2 linked regions of the Yarrowia lipolytica genome follow. The protein of the gene in region 2 interacts with the protein of the main gene of each other region in a pairwise test. Links are inferred from orthologs where the notes say so. Each region holds a gene or a part of one and is shown on either strand. Other genes may lie near its edges.

Region 1 (10,166 bases), on a different chromosome or scaffold from region 2:
TTAGGTCTGTAAAGAGGATCGACCTGGGACTGACGTTTCTCAATCACGGACTCTGGCTCGTCGATTTTAATAGACTTGGTCGACTTGACGTGGTGCAAACCTGTTTCTTCAGCAACAGGCTCCTCCACCTTTGGAGCATCGTGGCCGTAGTTTTTCCGATAGTAGTCGTTGATGTATTCCTCTTCCGAAATGATCTTTGACACGTATGCTGGTTTACCAGTAGAGGGGTTGCCGGTGGTAGATTTGAAACTAGCAGCCTTCGACTTTGCACTAGCTTTACTAAGAAGGCTAGCGTGTTTGCTGTTGACACTAACAGACGATCTGTTCCTGCTTGCCATTCCGCTCTCCAAACCACAAATACCTTCAACATCCGAGTCCATATCCGAAAAATCAGAAACTGCTCCAAAAGAAGGAGACAGAGTCGCATTAGTAGCCACAGACGGTCTTCTAGACTTACCTGTCGCAGTCGACTCGTATCCATCATCCACCTCCTTACCCTTGTTCCTTCTGCTGCTAAGGACACTCCTCTTCTCACTGCGTTCTCCTCCATTGTTGGCCTCCTCCTCAATGGCAGCTCTCCTCCTTCCCTTTCTTCCACCTCCAATCTTCTTACCCTTGGTCGATTTCTTGAGACTCTCGAACCGGGGCAAAATGGGAGCTGAAATCTCCTCTGGATCGGAAACGTCGTGGGACTGCCAGGAGGGATCAGGCACTCCAACCTCATTGCAGAACTGGACGGGACGGGAAAAGTCACGTGAGTCAATCGACGACAAGGACGACTCGGACGATTTACGGCTGTTGGACAGTCGTCGAATCAGCTTCTTGCGAACATGGCCATGATGATGATGATGATGATGACCCTCAATATGAGGCAGCAAATGGGACTCTAGAGAGTGCAGGATCGGCAAGTCTAGTCGTGACGAGTCTCCAATCCCGAGATGATCAATGTCGTTCTCTAGCTGCTCCTCAGACGAGTCCATGGCTGCGTCAATCGTAGGAAGATCCGCTTCCACCTCGTATTCTGAGACGGAGGACTCTGAGTCGTCAATAATCACAGCATCGTCCTCATGTCTAGTCACCTGATTGCCTCCATCGCCCTCGGGCAACTCCAGTGTTGGAACTCGTTGTGGCGACTTGTGACGAGCTGATGTAAATGCAGGCAGAGGAGGGGATTTTGATCGAACAGGAGACGAGGGGCGTGATCCACCTGGAGAAACCGTTCGGTCACGTGATGCAACACGTGATAGAGACCCTGGGCGCGAGGGAGACACAGTTTTGTCACGCGAGTGGGAAGATACACGTGACCGGGTGGTTGTAATACTTTCTTCCTCCTCGATACTCGCACTATCTTCAACAATAGAGATAGGCTCCTGCACGTAAGCAGATGAGTCACGTGACGCTATGGACGGCGAGTGTGTTCGGCCCATCACGTGGCCCATGCTAAGGTTTGGCTTGCCCAAAGTGCTGATTTCTGCTGTGCCGATATCAGCATGCTCTCCTCTCAGTGTGTCGGTATCTCCATCTTTCCAGGAATGCAAATTGTGTGTGCTTTTTGCTGTCGACGGCTCCTGGAAGCTTCCGTCGTCACTGGGTTCATCCAGCTCTTCAAGAGCGTCCTTGAACGAATCGTTGGATGTCGTGTCGTGGTATGTGTAGTCGTGTTGGTGTCCATGGTGTGTTTCTTTGGTATCCGAGTTGGATGACGAAGAAGATGTTGGTGATGGTGGTGACGTGGACGTGCGGGATTTGGATGAGGTAGATGATGATGCTGTGTTAGTGACTAGGCAACTACAATCAGTGGTCCCATGGCCTGAGCCCTGTCTTCCGTTAAGTATGGGTAATGCAGTACAGTACCCATATAGATCAAACGGTCCCACTTTTCCTCGGTAGTACTCACCAATAGGCAACGCAGTCTTGTACGACGGCGTCTCTCTCTCAAACGCCCCCTTCGGAGGCTTGCAATCCTTATTGCCATCCTGACTGGTTTCAGGAGGAATGATTGAAGTCGACGGTTCATCAAAGGGGACATATTCCTTTGCATTTCCGTCTTCATCCTTCGAAACATGCCGCCGCAAATCTCCAACCACAGGCTCCTTCCCCTCGCCGTACTTCTGCTCGATCTCCTTCCAGGTTTCCTTTTCAGCTCTCTTTCTTGCGGCTCTCGCTCCCCTCTCACGTTCCTCTTCGGCAGCAAGCCTACGGTCCCGAAGCTCCCGTCTTGCGCGTACCTCTTCTGAAACCTCACCACTCTCTCCAAGATGGAAATAGTCCGAAGCAGGAGACACCACGTTCCTTCCAACTAGTCGATCGAGGGTTTCGGCCGAAAAGTCAGTGTTTTCAAGCGGCAAACTCGACCCGTCCATCGGCCGGAGTTTGCGCTTGCCCCGGTTGTTGCCATCGTAGGAAAACGGCTCTCCTTCCGCAAATAGCGTCTTTTCTAGCAGACCCATGGGGTCGTCTGTGTTAGTAGCAAGGACGATGAGGAGGGGTAGTCGTGGTAGCGTGGGGCCAAAAACACGCGGCAACGCGACACGTGTACATCACATGACCCACACACGTGCCCCAGACACTTGCAAACACCCCCGCAGACGGGCCATACTCACTTTCAAGCTGTAATAGTGTCGGATAAAATGATACTCCAAGATTGCCTATATTTGAACATCATGCATGCCAGCAACCTTAAATGCTGCGGCAGAAAAGAACTTTATAAATAACCGATTCGATAATAGGGGATCATTGAGAGAAGATAGAAGGATTTTGACTGCGGGAAACAACTCCTTGAACAATTTTGACCAGAATAGATATTCCGTAATTCAGAAATGATCATTTTTCAGCTTTTCAGAAACCCCTGAAAAAATACAGTGTTATGGTTGTCTCACATACTGCTCATCATAGGGGTGGTCGTATAAAAAAAAGAGAACACAACAGGAAGGAGTAATGAGAGACAGATATAAATGGCACCATTGTATAGTCCTCATTGCCACAAATCCAATGATATCCTTTAAAATGCTAAAATCCACAAATCCACAATAAATCTCCAATTTTCAAAGATGAGAATCCGGTTGATTCTACGAACATGTTAAAAATACACCTGAAAACACCTGGAAAAACCCAATAAAGCGACCAATCTCACAATATTGTAGATCACGTGACCAACACACATGCCCCAGTATTGGACACGTGATCTCCAATGGACTCTCCCCTCGGCACGACCGTGAAACACAGATGAAACAGTGGAATGTATTATGCGCTTAGTCATCAAGGCTGCACCTGTGGTTTTAAACGTAACTTGCATATGTGTGTGCATATGTGTGTGTGCATGGGCTGCTCCCAAACATGGGGAAATAAGCCGCATAGAGGGTTGTGGCAGGGTATTACGGTCACGTGATCGGGTTCTGGTTGGGGGGGGTCCAAATTTCAAGTTTCGCAGTATTTCTATATTTACATGAGATACTGAGATTTTGATGGTACCATGAGAATGGTGAGATCAGCAGCTACATTTTTATATGTTGAACATCCTAAACATGAGAGCTGTTTTACCCGCTCTGGTAGTCTCCATGAAGTAGGCCGAAATACAATATTGAAGGGTCATAGAATCAGAACCAGGAGGGCTCCGGGAGGTCTCTGGGGTGACTTGTTCTAGATCAACAGGTCTGTGTTGCCACGGAGGAGCTGAGGTGTCTTCTTTACGGAGGTATTTTCTAAGTAGGTCATTTCGCACGGACTTTGCGACCCTCAGCGAGCCATCCAACGGGCGTGTAGAAGAGGTCCAGCACCCTTTCCCAGCACCATTGACAGAGAAATGAGCTATTGCTATTGACAGTTGCAATGCAAAACACCACCAAGATTGGAGTTGTAAGTATCCAGTTGGTTGCCCGGTGCGAACCAAGTCCATTGAAAAGACACATTATCAAACAGTCCTCAACAAGACCATCTTCTAACACCACGCGTGGCTGCAAGAACCAGATACCAGACACATCCAGCACATTCAAACACCATCTATTCCACTATGTATCCTGCCTGCCCTTCCTCTCCCGTGCCCCGGTTGTATATGCAAACCCACACCTGTGCGTCCGAGTCCATGTTGTTGACAGAGGTATGACAGAGTTCTTTCAAAAGACTGGATAGAGAGATGAGGAGTTCAGTGAAACACTCAACCAAGAAAACACCATTTCACCACATTTCAACCAACTGTTAGTCCTCAAACCAAGATGGAATGTTGGCGAGAAAAACCCTGCTCCATTCGTCTTCTCTAGTTCACATGCCGCCTTACGAAATCAACACCCACAACATGAAAAACGCAATAACAATACCAAACACCTTGACCATCAACCACCGATTCGACGAGATTCGAGCGTAGTACTTCATGAGTTCTCTCTGCGCTCCACTCACGTTCAACGAGATATCATCGGTGTTCTGGTCGATTCGGGCCACAGTTTCTCTCTGTTCCGCCACCATAGTGGCCAATTGCGAAAACATGCCTCCAAGTTCTTGGATGGTGCTTTCGATGGCCTCCACGGCTGTCGACCGCTGCTGCACGTACATGTCTTGTTGGTCAAGCAGTAACGTGTCCTGCTGGGGGAGGGTCAACAGGTCTGATGTTTCTGGGTCTGCTCCACTCAGTTGATCCTGCTGTTGCATCTGCATATCGTAAGGGTTGGACGAAGCTGTTCCCGAGCCGTAGAGCGGGCTGGAAGCCGCTTGTTGTGTGGAAGCCGACGTGGCGGAAATGAACTGTTCATGTCGAGATTTGGATGCCTGGATGTTTCGAGTTCTCTCCTCCAGAACATCGGCAAACCCTGCCGTGACTGTCGACAGCTTTTCTTGCAGCAACACCACCACGTTTTTCGAGTGCTCCATGGTCTGCTTCTGGCCCGTCGACTGCTTGGCCCGTTGCTGGAGCTGGGTCAGCTGCTCGTTAACCCGCGACACCTTCTGTTTGATCACGTGCGTCAGTTCGTTGATCTCCACGGGGCGGTCGTCGAACAGCGTCTTGCGCTGCGCCAGCTGTGCTAGCCGTTGCAGCATCTGTGTGGTGTCGGCGATTTCGGCGGCGATTTTCGACGCGTCCTGGGCAAACTGCGACTTTGCAGATCGGGTTTGTGGCGCCGGCACGGCGTTTTGCCGCAGCCGCGCCTGCGCCGCGACCGCGCTTTTGAATTCCTGGGTCCGGTTCTGCACAGAGAGCATCGCGAACTGGGGACTGTGCTGTTGTTGTGGGAGGTTGAGTCGGACAGTGTCACTCTGGCGTGTTGGAACTGTGAGGTGTTCATATTTGGATGCATGTAAAGTTGCACGTGAGCTTAATTGGAGGAGATGGGGGGCAGGAAATGTATGGGTGGAACGGCGGGGAGCGGAGGAATCGGGTTTCCGAGTGGATAAATCGATTTATTTGCGCGGGGTTTCCATCGTTGCGTCTTTTCTGGTCTCAATATGTCCTCTCTAACAGGATCTGAGTGGTTCCCAAACCACTACCAAAATTGTAAAACGGCGGTAAAATCGGCAAAGTGCCAAAAGGGGGGTTGGCTGTGCTTCTCCTAAATGGGAGAACCAGTCCAAAAAAATAACCCGACATGATCTACTTATAGTGCCAGTACGTACCACTAGTGAACCGAAACACACCATAGTAGACACTAAAGGTCTTTGTTACAGAACAGGCACAGCCATGAACAAGGAATATGGGTGACCTGACATGTTGCGCATTCGTTGCTATGTAGGCATGTACGGTTGGGGAGTCCTCAGCTGTAGATAGGTAGGTACACCACCATACATACACTACTACGAGAACAAGTAGCCATTCACGTTGTGTCAGTCAAGAGGCCCAAAAACAAGGAGTCGAAGGTTCACGTGAACCAGACCGTTCTGATCTGCCACTTTTCGTCTTGGTTGCAAAACGCAACATTTCCGTTTGATACAACTGCTCCTATCGCCGGACCGTTGAACGGAGTCCGAGAACAACAATGTGCAGTAGCAGGTTTTCAATGACAAGGAAAGATGTGCGTTGGATTTAACGATCCCGAACCAATCATCCATATCTTGTGTACAAACAGTCTCACATGTCATCCACTTTTCGTTTGAATGTGAAGTGGTTAGTTGCTTGTAGTTGAAAATTAGTTAACATAGCTGAGATTAGTTGGGAATTAGTTAACATAGTTGTTTAGTTGTCGATTAGCTGTTGGTTAGTTGTTGATTAGCTGTTGGTTAGTTGAATATTAGTTGACGTTTCGTATATGAAGCGTGTAGCCGTGGCCATTGTCCAATTTATTACTGCCAACCCTCTTGGGGATGTCTCTTGTCCACCGTTTTCATCATGGACATGGACACTACCGGCTTAGTCAGAATTGGCGAAATGGACCGCGACAGACGTTCACCAAGTTGTCGATCGCCTGCAGACTGGCTGAAAGGGTTCTGTACAAGTACAGTACTCTGGAAGGCTTTGCTATGGAGCAAACTGACAGCCTGACATTCCTCGAACACTCCAACACGGGTACCTCCTAATGCATAGTGGTGTCTGTATAGTATGCCATGCGATCACACCTCAAACCCGACAACGCTCAAACACGCCTCCGAATGTTATGCCATACACTTCCAGGCTTGTGTGTAATTTTCGGCCACTTTGTTCTGCACTGCCACAAAAATACGAGTCCAAGCGGCGGCGACTGAGCCACAGGTGGCGTGTTCGGACCTGCAAATTGACCGCAATTTGTTTTTCGTGAGGTTAAAACTTCGCCATTGGTGGGGCGGGGCGGGGCATGCAGAAGCCGTATGCAAAAAGATCGACATCGATAGAGTGCATGCTGGACGGGTCTATCTGGGTCAGAGAGGACTTGAAATGGGATGAAACGACGCAAAATGGCAAGGGGAATCGCTTGCTTTTTTCAGATTTCCGATCAGACGATTATCAAATCTGGTTTAAACCCCACTTTGGAAGTGTGTGGGTCCGATTCGGTATTGACAGAAAGGGCCGAATTAAAGGAATAAACGCCTTCTGAGGAATAAACGCCTTCTGAGGAATAAACGCCTTCTAAGGAATAAACACCTTCTGAGGAATAAAATGCCGTCTCTGCAATGCAACATCCCTCTCTCTGGCCATTCCGACAAGTTCACCTACCGCTTACTAAGCACTCGGCACCTCATCTGTAAGGTACAGCCGAGGTTCATGTCCCCCAGATGAATGTGGTATGTGCATCGACAGCCAACAGATCAGGACACACATAACCACAAGTACTGTAGTCGTAGTCGAATTCATACTCGTAATCGTCGTCGTAGTCATAGTCACCCACACCAACCGACTTTGCCACCTCCACCAATTGCCCACACTCTCCACCGTCCAGCTCCCTCTTGCGGGAACCCTAACCCCGTCATAAGTAGGTCAAGTTGCTACTTCACACCGGACTTGCCTGGTATGCTCTTTAGTCCTGCTCGAGGCGGGATGGAGAATCGAGCGAACCGTTGCAACAGCCTCAGACACATGTATATGAGATGGTGTACGGTACGGTACTTGGTGGTTGCACTCGGTAGTTGCAAGTTCTGTATGTACCATACTCGCACTTGTTCAACATGTCAAATGCTACAATGTAGACTGCGTACATACTCACAATCACGTTACCAAAAAAGGTCCAAAACGAACCTAGATTTGGGCTAAATGTGGATGCGTACCGCCCCACCAGATTCGGCAGACCTTATCGTAGACCGGAGAAGCGTCTCAAACGCAGTATTCGGCCCCCATCTTACTTTGGCTGGCCGCTGATTGGCCCGGTCTCCACTTGCTGACACAAGGGAAAACCTAGTTTGGCCTAGGTTGGATATAAATCCCACGCGGACTCCAGAACCCCAGACTCACACGGTATAACACCTGAAGCACAACAACATGAGCGAGCAGTACACCCCCGAAGTGAGTATGAGCGATCTGGGAGATTGGCGGACGTTTTGGCGAACGTGGCAGAGGTAAAGAGAGGCGCCAGAGGCGGTGAGAGTGCAGATGGTGCAACGGGGTCGGGTCAGGTCAGGTCACGACAGCAGACACAAGTCTGAAGACGGGACATGTTGTAGCGGGATGGCAGTATCGACACAGACACAAACGGTGGTGACAGCGGTGACAAACGGAATTGGTTGGGCGACACAGATGGCCAGGAGAGATTCTGGATCTCAGAGTCGGGCTTTGTAACTGGGACAGGGCTTCTAGAGCAACTTGGTCACGCGCCGCCGCCAGGGAAAATGCCATCTAGACGGGTTGTTTTACACAGATCGTTTAGACAGATTGTTTGGACACAGCCCCTAGACACATTGCTTAGACGGCTCTCTCTAGACGCTCTGTCTATCTGGACCGTCCATCTCTTCCCAGTCGGATTGGACGGTCTAGATCGCCCTCTCCCTTTCACTTGCTGAGTCAGGCTTTGTGTTTGTGTCTGTGTTTGTGTTTGTCTCTTCCTCTGTCTTTCTCAGGCTGGGCCTTTCCCGGCGATCAGCGACCACTGCCACTTGCTCCGTTTCTTTCCGCAATGGTCAGATTGCCTCCATAATGTGACATGTGCTGGGGATAATTTTAGGTTTGGTTGCATGTGCCGAGGTATTGCGGTGGATGTGGGCTAGTGACGTCAGGTGAGGTGAACAGGAGGTGGGAGACTTGGAGAGTCGCTTTCGGAGCTCCGGAAACTGAGCCGAACCCACCACCAATGGTTCTGCAGCAATTGGTAGCCTCCAACGTCTCTTGCCCTGACTGCTCTGAAAATCACGTTCCCCACAGAAACAACCTTAACCCCCCAAAGCCGATGAACTCTATTCGGCCCCTTAGGTGGTGTGACATCTGGGGTACACACTAGCCACTGCGGTAGTGTGATAGGAATTGAGGTAGATAGTGAACATGGACCGGGACTGCGGCAATCAATCGAACGAATCACCCAATCGATCGATTGACCCACCCACCGCCGCTTGGTGTTGCCACCGCCACCACCGCCGCCACGTTGCATAACCTCCCCACACAAACCAACCTTCCAACCTTCCCTCGGTACATGTGCATTAATGTGCCTAAAGCCTATTGCACCACTCATGTGTATATATACAGCGCTAACGACAGCAAGTTGCGGAGCACAACTCTCCCGAATCTCTGTGGATCATCATTGACGGTAACGTTTTCGACCTCACTGAATTCCAGAAAGAACACCCCGGCGGAAAAAAGATTCTCAAACGAGTCGCAGGAAAAGACGCTACCAAGTTTTTCCACAAATACCACGACGCCCCCAAGATTATGCGAAAGGTTGGACACAAGTTCAAGATCGGAACCCTTAAAGACGCTGAAGCAAACCCCACTCGAGCCATGATTGCCCCTAACAAGACCACCGCCCTCGAGCCCTACGGAGACCTTGTCCCCTACGCCGACCCCAACTGGTACCACGGCTACCACAACCCCTACTACAAGGAGTCCCACGCCAAGCTGCGTGACGAGGTCCGACAGTGGGTTGAGGAGAAGATTGAGCCCTTCGTTGAGGAATGGGATGAGGAGAAGGAGGTTCCCAAGGAGATCTTCCAGGAGATGGGCAAGCGAGGTTACCTTGCCGGCTCTCTCGGCACCCCCTACAAGGAGCTGGCCAAGTACACCAACGTCAAGCCCGCCTCTGTGCCCATTGAGGAGTACGACATGTTCCACGAGCTCATCATCACCGACGAGATCATGCGAGCTGGCTCCGGAGGTCTCACCTGGAACCTGCTTGGTGGCTACTGTATTGGTCTGCCTCCCGTGATCAAGTTCGCCAAGGAGCCCCTTAAGGAGCGAATCCTCCCCGGCCTGCTCGACGGTTCCAAGCGAATCTGTCTGTGTATCACTGAGCCCGACGCTGGCTCCGATGTTGCCAACATCACCACTACCGCCGAGAAGACCCCCGACGGAAAGTTCTACATTGTCAACGGTATCAAGAAGTGGATCACCAACGGTATCTGGGCTGACTACTTCACTGTTGCCGTCCGAACCGGTGGCCCCGGCTCTGGCATGAACGGTATCTCTGTTCTGCTGCTCGAGCGAGGCATGGAGGGTCTTGAGACCCGACGAATGAACACTCAGGGTATGCTGTCTTCCGGCTCTACCTGGGTCACCATGGAGGATGTCAAGGTCCCCGTGGAGAACCTGCTCGGCAAGGAGAACAAGGGTTTCAAGGTCATCATGACCAACT
Region 2 (11,492 bases):
ATCAACATGCCAAAGGCCACCAGAGGTGAGTAGGGAGAATTCGACAGCGGAAAAAACCAGCCGGTGAGCAGACAACTAACGCAGGCGTTCTGATTGAATGCGATCCCTCCATCAAGGCGCTCATCGTCAACATTGACTCGTCGCAACACAACATCATTTTGGACGAGCTGGATGACACCCATCTCATGATCCACCCCTCCATGGTCGAGGTGGTCAAACAGAAGCTCAACAAGATGCTGGCCGAAAACACATACAACCCCAACGAGGAGGCTGCCAAAGCGACTGGAAAGTAGACAGTCGACGGATTATTTATTCAATAAAATTGCAGACAAAGTGGATGGACCGTTCCTACTCTACACACTGCCTTGCAGTAATACTGTCATAAATGTGGCCTGTTGTACAATACGCGACAATGATACTGTGTATTGCAGCTGTCTACTGTAGTTTACAACGAATACACACCCGTAGTAACTGGTGGTCTATTTTATGTGGTCTTTTTTCTACCGACTCTCTACAAGTCTCCCCCACTCTCCATGTAATTCCTTCATCATGCGTTCAGTCGTATTTACATGTCCACCCTCTAACTTATTGCTCACTAATATACAACTTTTGAATAACGTCTCCAACCCAACTGACGAATCCATCCACCTCCATAAGAGCCTCCAGCTGCTCAGGCTTGCCCCGAGTGACCATCTTACGATGATACTCGTCGTAGTTGCGCACCAACAAGTCCTGGATGGCCTCAATCAGCACATCCGCAGCCTGGGCATCGTCCACATACGACTTAATCTTCGTGTACGACCGCGGAATCTCCGAGGCCGTGTCTTCTCGCAGTTGCCGCGTGTCAGTCACAATGTTCTCCGGTTTGGGGTCCGTCATGATGCTCTTGGCAATGTGGCGCACCTCAGACTCGGTCATGGTGGAGATGGCGTTACGCAGGTTGGCAGAAAGTTCCACACGAGCGTCCATCATGGAGTTAATGACTCGAGGCAGAGAGGCTCGTGCAAGACCAGCAATGCCATCCTTGTCGGTGGTCACACGTCGCTCACGCGCAATCTGGCCCAGAATGCCCAGAGCTCCCGAGAAGTCAAGCTGCTTCTCCTCAGGCACAAACTGAATGTCAAACTCAGCCACCTGTGAGTTGAGCATCAACAGGTTCTTGATAAACCAGAGCTCGGCGTCAGACGGACCCAGGCGCTTCTGAGCCACCACACGTGCAACATTCAACGAAGTGATACAGTCGTGCAACACATTGTGAGCCATGGTATCAAAAACATGCGAGTTGACCAACTGGTATATTTGCGACAGTAAAATCACAGTTCGTCGTAGAGGAGGGTACCAGCCCTGAAGGAGATCATTGGAGATATCGGCGTTAGATTCGTCGCCAACAGAAGAAGAAGCTGTCTTATCATCTTCTTTTTCATTGGTCCTTCTGCTACCAATCAAGAAGTCTCCGTCTCCAGGAACGTAGTTAACAATCTCATGATCAATGATATTTTGGGCCCTGAACACCAACCGTGACTGGACGTCTTGTAGTGCGTTGAAAACCAGGTTGCCAAAGCCATCGTCATCCATACTCTCATCGTCCTGCAGGATGACGGCAATCTCACACAAGACAGAAACAGACCGATCTCGAAGTATTCGAGTTCGAAGCTGGTCATACAGACCCTCAAACAGTCCATCCATCCATTCAGCAAGTCGACCATGGCCCTCGTCGGGGAAGAAATGGTCAAAGAGCCGCTTCTCGTCGCTGAAAATCTGCTTGTACAACGACAGCGCCTTCCGACAGAATTTGACGCTGTCTGTGCCACTGGAGGAGTTAATGTCAAACACAGATTTATCAATGTGAGGTCGCAGGATTGGTTGACGGGCTGCAAAATACTTTTGGTATAGCTCCTGCATCATGGGCTCAATCTGTGGATACTGAGCTCGCTTTGACACCTCAGACACCATTTCTCCCAGGTTAGTGGCCTGCTCAAACTTGCTGTACATGAGAGCATGACTGGCTGCCGACGAAGAAACGGTAGCCATCTTTTCCTGTGCCTCTGCGCCAATATCCGTCACCTTGTTGCCGAAATACACCACCACCAGACGTAAACATCGCACTAAAAGTGCCATGAAGCGCTGCTCATAATCCTCAGCACCCTTGAAGTTGTTGTGCTCGGGGATATAGACAAGCGACTCGTCAATCTGCTGCAGAATGGATCTAAACGCTGGCGTCTTGATGAAGTTGTGACTGCCTCCTGTCACCTGTCTCTGGACAGATTCAATGCGGGTGAACATGTCGAGATTCTGTTGCAGATTACCGATGAGAGTTTCCAAATGTGTCTGTTCGTCCATGAGCGCATTGCATTCGCGTTGGAACTTCTCCGTGTCGTTTTCCACCTTGAGGAATGAAACGGACAGAGTGTCCAACAAGCCAATGATGTCGTTAGTCTGGTCCAGCAGCTTGGAGCACGTCAGCGAGTACGACGTGGCCTGCATGTACATGGTGGTGGCCCTTTGGAGCTGTGGCGTGTTTGTTTCTTGTGATGACGATGCTGATTGTTGTAGGGAGCTGTTTCCGGAAGGAGAAAAGAGCTCTTCCACTTCTCTCCTCGAGAATGGCCATTCTGTGCGCAGTTTCTCAACCTCGGGTCTCTCCAGCGAGCCCACATTGACGCTCTGTGTCCGTCGACGCAAAGGAGGCACCTCCAGCACATCTGTCTGGGTCACTTGGACCACCTTCTCCACGGCCACGGACTGAATGATGCTTTTGGCACGTGATCTCTTCGGGCTTACCGGCTTTGGAGCCGGCTTCGCCGCGTCCATGTATGCCCATTCGTCGTACATCTCTCTTGCTGTGTAACCACGTCTATCCTCCGGGTGTGGGTATGGAGAGCTGTACCACGTATGTCGGATGTGCAAATAGAGTTGCGCGTGTGTTTGGAGTGACATGAGAAGTAGGAGAACAAATGTAGTGGGTAACTGGGTAAAGGAGTTTGAATAACAACAGGTAATTTACATACAAAAAAAGACCAGTCAACCCCTCGGCTTATGTTTCAGTTTCTTCCGAATCAGATCACCGTGGTAGATGGAAGTTCAAGGTGATCCGTTTAGTTGAATATACTTCAGCATAAGCTAAAAGTTTGTTAATGATTTTAGGAAAGTAGAAACTCGACAATGACAGGGGTAAAAGATATGTTATGAGAAATAGAAATGTCAAATTTCAATCACAACCAATTCAAGATCCAGAAATTAAAAATTCAGTTCTAAAATACCACGTTTTAAGCCCCCTATACCTTCACCTCCATTCCACCTCGGAGTTTCACTATCCGCATAAGGTTTTAGTCTCAATATGGAGATCCGGAAACACCATTTCTACGACACGATACATTGTACTTTCGCCACGCTCTACAACATGTCTATTGAGGAATGGAAGAAAACCAAGCTAGTGGGTGTGATTGGCATGGGCGACATGGGCCGTCTGTTTGCTAACCACTGGAACTCTCAGGGCTGGAAAGTGCTGGCCTGTGATCAGGAATCCCACTATGAGAAGCTCAAGGAGGAATTTGCCGATTCGGAGATTGAAATCGTCCAGAATGGCCACTATGTGTCTCGAAAGTGCGATTACATTCTCTACTGCGTCGAGGCCGAGAATATCGGCAAGATTGTCAGCATCTACGGTCCCTCTACAAAGGTCGGTTCCATTGTAGGTGGTCAAACGTCCTGTAAGGCTCCCGAGATGGCTGCGTTCGAGGCACATCTGCCCTCTGACGTGGATATCATCTCGTGCCACTCACTACACGGCCCCAAAGTCAACCCCGAGGGCATGCCTCTGGTGATTATCCGACACAGAAACACCGAGGAGTGGAAGTTCGAGTTTGTGCAGTCACTGCTGGAGTCACTCAAGTCCAAGATTGTCTACCTGTCGGCAGAGCAACACGACAAAATCACTGCCGACACACAGGCTGTGACTCACGCCGCATTTCTGACCATGGGCAAGGCCTGGCAGGCGAACGGACAGTACCCCTGGCAGATAAGCCGTTGGATCGGAGGTCTGGAAAACGCAAAGATGAACATCTCGCTGCGAATCTACTCCAATAAATGGCACGTCTATGCCGGTCTGGCCATCTCAAACCCCGCTGCCAAGGTTCAGATCCAGCAGTACGCATCCAGTGCCGGCGATCTGTACAAACTCATGATCACAGGCAAGGAGCAGGAGTTGCTTGACCGCCTTACGGCTGCCCGAGACTTTGTGTTTGGAGGCCTCAAGAAGGAACACTCGCTGCTGCTGTCCGATGAGATTCTCGAAAAGTTTTCGCTCGGAACCAAACCCCTGGGAGAAACACAAAAGCCGAACTCGCATCTGTCACTGCTGTCCATTGTCGACTCGTGGCACAAACTCAAGATCAACCCCTACGACCACGTCATCTGCTCGACACCTCTGTTCCGAATCTGGCTGGGTGTCACTGAATACGTCTTTTGCACTCCAGGACTGCTCGAACAGTGCATCAAACACTCCATTACTAACCAGGACTTCCGACCCGACGATCTGGAGTTTGTGGTGGCTGCTCGAACGTGGTCTAAGGTCGTTTCTTACGGCTCCTACAAACTGTACGAGCAGGAGTTCAACGACACCCAAAAATACTTTGCTCACATGTTCCCTGAAGCCACTCGAATTGGCAACGAGATGATCAACACCATTCTGTCAACCACTTAAGACACACTTGCAGGTCTAAAAGTTCCTAGAAAACAATAGTTTCAATAATAGAGTGACTATGATGATGATTATTATGAGGATGAGGAGGATGATGATGATACAAAAAGTATTACTTATACAAATCTATTATAGTAGTTTACCACTGTTCTGGTTTTTGTTATATATAGTTAACTGACAGCCATCAAGCTACCGGTACTTGTACTGTCTCTCTATCGTCGCTTGTAAATGCAAGGCTTGAGCAACCACTCGCCCTCAGCCTGCTTCTTTCGTCTCTTCTCGAGCTGCTCGCCGTCCTCGGGTCCCTTCTTTTCCTCCTCATCTCCATAGTCAATGAACTTTCGCTTTGGCACCTTCTTCTTTCGTTGGGCGAGAATCTCTTGGGTGGGTTTGAAGAACTCGAACCGCACAAAGTGCGTGTTTTCGTCGTCTGTGAGCTTGTGGAAGAAGCTGAGGCTCTTGAGCACCTTGATGAACTCGTCGGTCTGGCCGTCGGTGAATCGAGACTTAATCTCGGCGATCCACAGCTCTCCATTGGGCCGCAGAATTCGCATGGCCTCCTTGATGAAGTCCAGGAAGTTGGTTCCCATAAGAGCCAGACAGAAGACGACAATGTCAGCGGAGTTGTCTTCCATGGGCACATTCTTCACATCTGCCACTGTCACTCGCTCGTTGGCCTTCTTCAGATCAAACGACTGGGTCTCGACCACCAGGTTCTTGTTCTGGGGGTTGACGCCCTTCTTCTTGAAGTTGATCTTGCTCAGATCCAGCGCCAGCTGCGCCTCTCCACAGCCCATATCGGCCACCACAATCTTGTTCTCGCGCTTGTGAGCAGGCAGCCCTCCAGGAGAACACACAGGCTTGTTGAGCCTCTCGGTAAACCGCTTGACAAAGGTGTCCACGGGGTTCTCGGGCCAACCCTGCACCTGGTTTCGGAATCCAGCATGATACTCGTCAAAAATCTCGGGGTTGTCGGTAATCATTTTGAGAGCCTCTTCGGAGGGAACAGTATACAGCTGCTCGTTGATCCATCGGAACCGCGATCCGGCCAGCTTCTCTTTCATCTTGAGCTGAAGAGGTGTCAGCTTGGCGGCAGGAGCCTGTGTGAACGCTTCAGCAGGAGGAGCAGCTGGCTTGGAAGCCTCTTCAGTCTCAGAAGCCTTGGCCTTCTTATCCTTCTTATCCTTCTTCTTGTCCTTCTTGCTCTTTTTGTTCTTGCCAGAATCAGCAGCATCCTCAGCAGCAGAAGCCTTCTCAGCAGCTTTAGCGGCCTCAGCCTTGGCCTTGGCATCAGCCTCGGCGGCCTTCTCGTCATCCGCTCGCTCCTTCTCTCGCTGCTCTCGCTTCTCCCGCATCATGACGCCTCGCTCGGCCTGCTGGTCTCGTTTTTCCTTCTGACGCTTGGTCAACTTATCAGCCTTGACATCGTTGGACAGATTCCATCCGTCAACCTGGAACATGAACGACATTGTGTGTGTGTTTAAGTCGGTAACTGGGGTGTGAAATCAGTTTGAAATAATTAATCCAAAATAATTTTTCGAACCCAGATTAAGCTGCATCATTTCTGCAGAGCTGAAAGTGGTTGAAAGAGTGACGGAAATAATGGAGACATTTTCATATAAATTACTTGTTGGAAAATGCAAAGGATTTGTGCACATTGGCAATGTAAACCCGAGTTAACAGGATCTTTCCAATGCCCTAATTACTACATACCGAGGCCCAAATTTACCGCTCAAGTATGATGATGTACTTGCTTGTACCCCCTTCAAGAACCTGAACTGTTCCCCCTTCAAACAGCAATAAAGAACATATCGTAACGATACATAAACCACTCGGAATCCCCAGCACCTCTAATTACCCACGAACTCCAAAATGCTGTACTATTGGCATTAGCGACCCCCCCCCCCCCCCCCCCCCCCCTTTGGCATTATGTTAGGCTGACAATAGTGTAGTATGTACAAGTGCCAACAGCTGTACTTGTAGCTACAAGTAGTACCCGTATGTGTACAATCACTCGCGACGCTCACACCTATGGGTGTGTCATAATAAATCATGTAATGGAACTATATACCGTCTCACGTGCCATTACTGTTCACGAGAGATCCACATATTTACTCTTTCTAGTTCTTGGTCTCGATCTTGACCTCGGTCTCCTTGATCTCGATCTTGGCTCCATCCTCGGCCACCTCCTCGGTCACCTTCTGCTCAACCTCGACAGCAGCCTCCTTAACTTCGTTCTCCTCTCCCTCAATGTAAACTCGTCCCTCCTTTCGGGCCTTGATCATGGCGTCCTTCTTCTTCTGGGCAGCGGCCTTGGCCTCTTCCTTGGCCGCCAGCTCCAGGGCCTCTCGGTCTGCCTCCTGCTGCTTGTGCAGCTCCACCTTCTGTGCAAAGGCCACATCTCGCAGATGGGTCTTCTTGGCCAGCTCCATCTTCTTGTCGTAGTCGGTGACAAAGGGGATGGAGTACTTCTTGAGCTCGCCGGCGGAGACAGGGGTTGCTCCGGCAGCCTCAGCAATGGTCTCGGCCATCTTCTCCCAGAACATGGAGGCGATAGAAATGGTTTCCTCGGAGCCATCAGTTCGAGTGATGGTCACGGTAGGTCCAACGGACTTCTCCTTAGGAGCCTGGACTCGAGACACACTCATGGCGACGGAGGGGTTCCAGAACTGCAGAGTGGGCAGCGAATGGGTCCAGAACAGCTTGGTCTGAGACCGGTTACCAGAGTCCTTGAAACGGAGCTTCAGAGCCGAGACATTGTCGGGCAGCTTGTATGCTCCAGGAGCGGTGACGACCTTGTTGAGCTGGAAAATCTGCTTGTCGACTCCAGTCATGTTCTGGTAGGTCTGACGGAGGTTTTTTGCCAACTGTTTGGACGACATTTTGCTAGTTGTGTGGTCTGAATATGTCAGATCAGGTGCGGTTTCAAGCAGTATTTTGGCTAGGAAATTTGGTGATGAAAACAGGTAGGGTAAGAGATTTAAGGTTACATATAGGAAGTGGTGGTGATATTGAGGGGGCTTTAAGGTGGATGTAGGAACGAAGTGAAGGGTAAGAATATACTTGGAAATGTTGAAAGTGGACCAAAATATCTATGTTTTTTTTTTTCCACATGCTTTTTCTTTGATTTTTGGAGCAGTTTTAAGGATCGTTTACGTAGCAATAAGTTCAAGTACTTCTCAAGTATTCTGTTATAACGTTTACTTAACCCAAATTAGAACACTCCTCCTTCACAAGTGTTTTTAAGTTGTAAGGGTGAGTCCAGGAGGTTATGGGCGTCATTAGGCGACCCGTATTTGGTGTCTCTGTGCACTTAATGGCGTTTGAACAAGATGTATTCAACAACACACCGCGTCCAGATACCTGGGATGCAAATATTTTCTGAGAAAGTCGATATTTGGACAGTTGAATAGACCCTGACTACATGCTGTGAAACAGCCTGCAGGTGCCAACATCAACTTTAACACACACGATTACAGGAAAGACGCGTTGATGGCCAGGTTTGATCTAGACGGTCACCAGTCTAACAGAAGTGGATTTGCCAATTGAGAGGAGATACGACACAGACAGTCCGTGAGAAACAAACTACTCAACGACTAACAACTCAACGATATACATTGCATACACCAACTCTGACTCAACGTTCCACCACGGTAAGCCATTAAGAGACAGACACCGATACCCAGCCACAGACATAACTCTCGACTAGGCCTGACATGTTCCCCTACAAAACCAACCGACGCGGCAGCCGTTCAGGTGACCGCGAAGAAAACCCGTTCGCAAACACCCAAATGTCGCGGTCCAGAAGCTCATCTCTGTATGGTGGAGGAGCACCACGTCCAAACACATCTCACGGGCACAGACCACAGACAGCAGGTCGTCCACACACGTCGCATACCCACTCGACCAGCGTCAACTCATTTCCAGCCTTCAACAACGGATACATGGGCGGTCTTGGATCGGGGTCCCCTGCAGGTGGTAAGCCAGCGTACAAGAGCCATCATCGCTCGTCCACGTTGCGGGACGTGCGTGATTTGGAGCCCGAGACTATTGAGCCTCCCTCTTCGGCGTGGTCGGCGTTAGGAGCTCTCAGAGAACGTATCAGACGTCTCAACATGGAGTCTGAGATGGAGGGAGATGATGAGAACTCCGAAGACTCGGCAGGCACCGAAACGGAACAGGAGGGAGTCTCCAGAGCAGATGGAGACACGTCGTTTGCATCAAACGAGTCCAGCGAATCGTGCGAGTCCATAGAGTCGGAAATGGAGCATCAGAGAGCCCATATACAACAACCTCTGCAAACTCAACACACTGGGCAGTCCACTATGTCCAACTTTGATCACTCGGAGGACATGATTGACATTGAAATGTCGCTGAACCGATTGAAGAATTTGGATGCAGATCTCTACGAGTCCTTGTATACCATGTACGAGGAGATGACTGCCCTGTGCCACTTACCAGGCCAATCTGGCCTCTCAGAAGGCATCTCAAACAATTTAGTGGCTCTTTCCTCCTTCGTCAAGATCCTCGAGAAGAAACTAGAGATCCATGCCATCAAGAGAACCAACCGAAGAAGTGTCATTGGTGTTGTTAGTCCTCAGGGATACAGCTCTAGCAGCCCCTACCAGAGTCCCTACACCCAACAACAGATACCGCCGTCTCAACAACAGCAGTATGCTCCTCAATTCGTGCAGCCCCCCCCACAACATCCGACCACTCCCCGGATGCCCCGGTCGTCGTCGTTGAGATCTGTTACTCCAGCCACGCCCTCAGAACTCGGAACTCCTAGCTACGCTAGACGCCTTGCTGCCCACAATAGACGGCAGAAGAGCATGAGCATGAGCCCAGACTTTTAACGAAGGAGTAGTGGGTGCTTAAAACGAGATCAAGAGGTGATAAAAAAACGGGATTCTGGTATGCCTAGCCGTAGCTATCCAATGACGGCGTTCATACCAACATGTAGAATAATTTATTAGTAATGTACAACCACCTGGTGATTATAGACGGTTGTAGATGCAATTGAGATGTTTCAGCTGGAAGATATGAAACTGTTGCCCATTGGCATTCAGATCATGTCATCAACGTAACATATGAGTAAGTGATTAGGTCAAGGAAATCACACTGCTTCAGTACCGATATCTGACTATCCGAAAGGCTATTGATATTGTCAACATATCTAAACAGTCAAGCAAACATTTCCTTCGTCGTATTTCATGCTTTACATCTTGAAAGTACTCTGTCGTATCACAGCCGTACCATAAGGGCAACAACGACTACTACTCCAACTACGTTCCAGTTCTCCAGCCAGAAGAGCATCCAATACTCGTGGTTCGCACTCGTATTTTGTCTGGTTCAAAATGAGTTACTATATACACTTACTCAAGAGTAATCTTGGCGCCGAGATCCTCAAGCACCTTTTTGATCTTGTCGGCATCCTCCTTGGGGACGGACTCCTTGACCATCTTGGGGGCGGCGTCAACAATCTTCTTGGCGTCGACCAGAGACAGACCGAGCAGGGTCTTGATCTCCTTGATCACCTTAGGCTTGGCCTTGGCATCGTATGACTCCAGCTTGATGTTGAAGATGGTCTTCTCCTCGACGGGCTCGGGGGCGGCCTCCTCGGCAGCAGCGGCAGGTGCAGCGGCGGGGGCGGCTCCGGCGGCGGGGAAAGAGATATCGGGAATGTTGAGTCGGCTCTTGAGCTCGGTCACCAGAGACGAGGTTTCCAGCAGGTTGAGCTGGGCAATCTGGTCGACAATAGCGGTGATCTTGGGGTCCACGGGGGCGGCGGTGGAGTTGAATCTGTGTTAGTTGGAGCTGGGTGGGTTTTTTTGAAGCGTTTCGTCTTCAGATCAGTGCTTTTGTGAGTTGATGACATGATCTGGCTGGTGATCTGGCTTGATTTCAATGTCGAGAAAAACAATCAAGGAGTGAATCTCGCAATTAATACTCACCGAACACCAACTCGAGCCACACGGGCGACTCGAGCAACTCGAAGAGACATTCGAAGAGCAGACATTGTGCGGTTGTATGGGGTTGAGATGGACTCAGTGTAGACGCTGCTGTAGGTGAGTTTTCAAATTTTCAGGGTGCGTGACGGAGGGTTACCCGGCCTTGCTCTTGTACTGTGGTGTCCCAAACCTCCCAATCACTATACTTGTAGTCAGAGGGAGGGGGATTAGAGACGGGAAGAATAGACTCGTGCGCACATTTAGAGTTTGCCATAGAGCTGCAGAACACCATCTTCACTGGGCTTTGAAAAACACACAGCAGACGACAGCTCAGTGTGTGGAACAAGACGGAACCAAAATGACGTCGCGATTTTGTCTCGAGTGGTGAGTGATCAGAGAGAACTAGATAACGAGAGGACGAGAAATGATCGAGGACCAGCGCTAACCCAGCAACAACATGCTCTATCCGAGAGAGGATAAGGAGGATAGAAAGCTGCTGTTTGCATGCCGAAACTGTCCGTACACGGAGTTTGCATCCACTCCTCTGGTGTTCAAGCATCAGCTGATCACCAACATTGAGGAGACGGCCGGAGTGACAACCGGTATTGGAGCAGATCCCACTCTGCCTCGATCCGACAAGGAGTGTCCCAAGTGTCACGAGCACGATGTGGTCTTCTTCCAGTCGCAACAGAAGCGTGCGGAGACCACCATGATTCTGTTTTTTGTCTGCAACAACTGCAACAACATTTTCCGGTCTTAGAGGGGATTATTCGAGGGTTGTATATTATTGGTTCGTTAATGGATTATTTATGTTTTGACGTGAGCATCTGTGTGGAGGCGTA

What was found.
Region 1: the proteins of YALI1_F23446g (region 2) and YALI1_C23989g interact in binary tests that used the Saccharomyces cerevisiae proteins (3 or more experiments, as listed by UniProt). The link is inferred for Yarrowia lipolytica from reciprocal best matches to the Saccharomyces cerevisiae genes COG3 and SED5.

Annotation. Positions count from the first base shown.
Region 1 is NC_090772.1:2,393,924-2,404,089, reverse strand, and holds YALI1_C23989g (uncharacterized protein), read right to left. Parts: upstream 5,191-10,166; coding exon 4,270-5,190; downstream 1-4,269. Other genes in the region: YALI1_C24016g (uncharacterized protein), read right to left, coding at 1-2,450; YALI1_C23950g (uncharacterized protein), read right to left, coding at 8,598-9,050; YALI1_C23948g (uncharacterized protein), read left to right, coding at 9,248-10,166. UniProt on the Saccharomyces cerevisiae protein: Required for vesicular transport between the endoplasmic reticulum and the Golgi complex. Acts as a target organelle soluble NSF attachment protein receptor (t-SNARE).
Region 2 is NC_090775.1:2,336,081-2,347,572, reverse strand, and holds YALI1_F23446g (uncharacterized protein), read right to left. Parts: upstream 2,938-11,492; coding exon 586-2,937; downstream 1-585. Other genes in the region: YALI1_F23474g (uncharacterized protein), read left to right, coding at 7-25, 85-293; YALI1_F23441g (uncharacterized protein), read left to right, coding at 3,401-4,702; YALI1_F23414g (uncharacterized protein), read right to left, coding at 4,912-6,168; YALI1_F23399g (mitochondrial 54S ribosomal protein mL61), read right to left, coding at 6,820-7,581; YALI1_F23391g (uncharacterized protein), read left to right, coding at 8,416-9,555; YALI1_F23368g (mitochondrial 54S ribosomal protein bL12m), read right to left, coding at 10,075-10,501, 10,654-10,718; YALI1_F23364g (uncharacterized protein), read left to right, coding at 11,009-11,034, 11,101-11,410. UniProt on the Saccharomyces cerevisiae protein: Acts as a component of the peripheral membrane COG complex that is involved in intra-Golgi protein trafficking.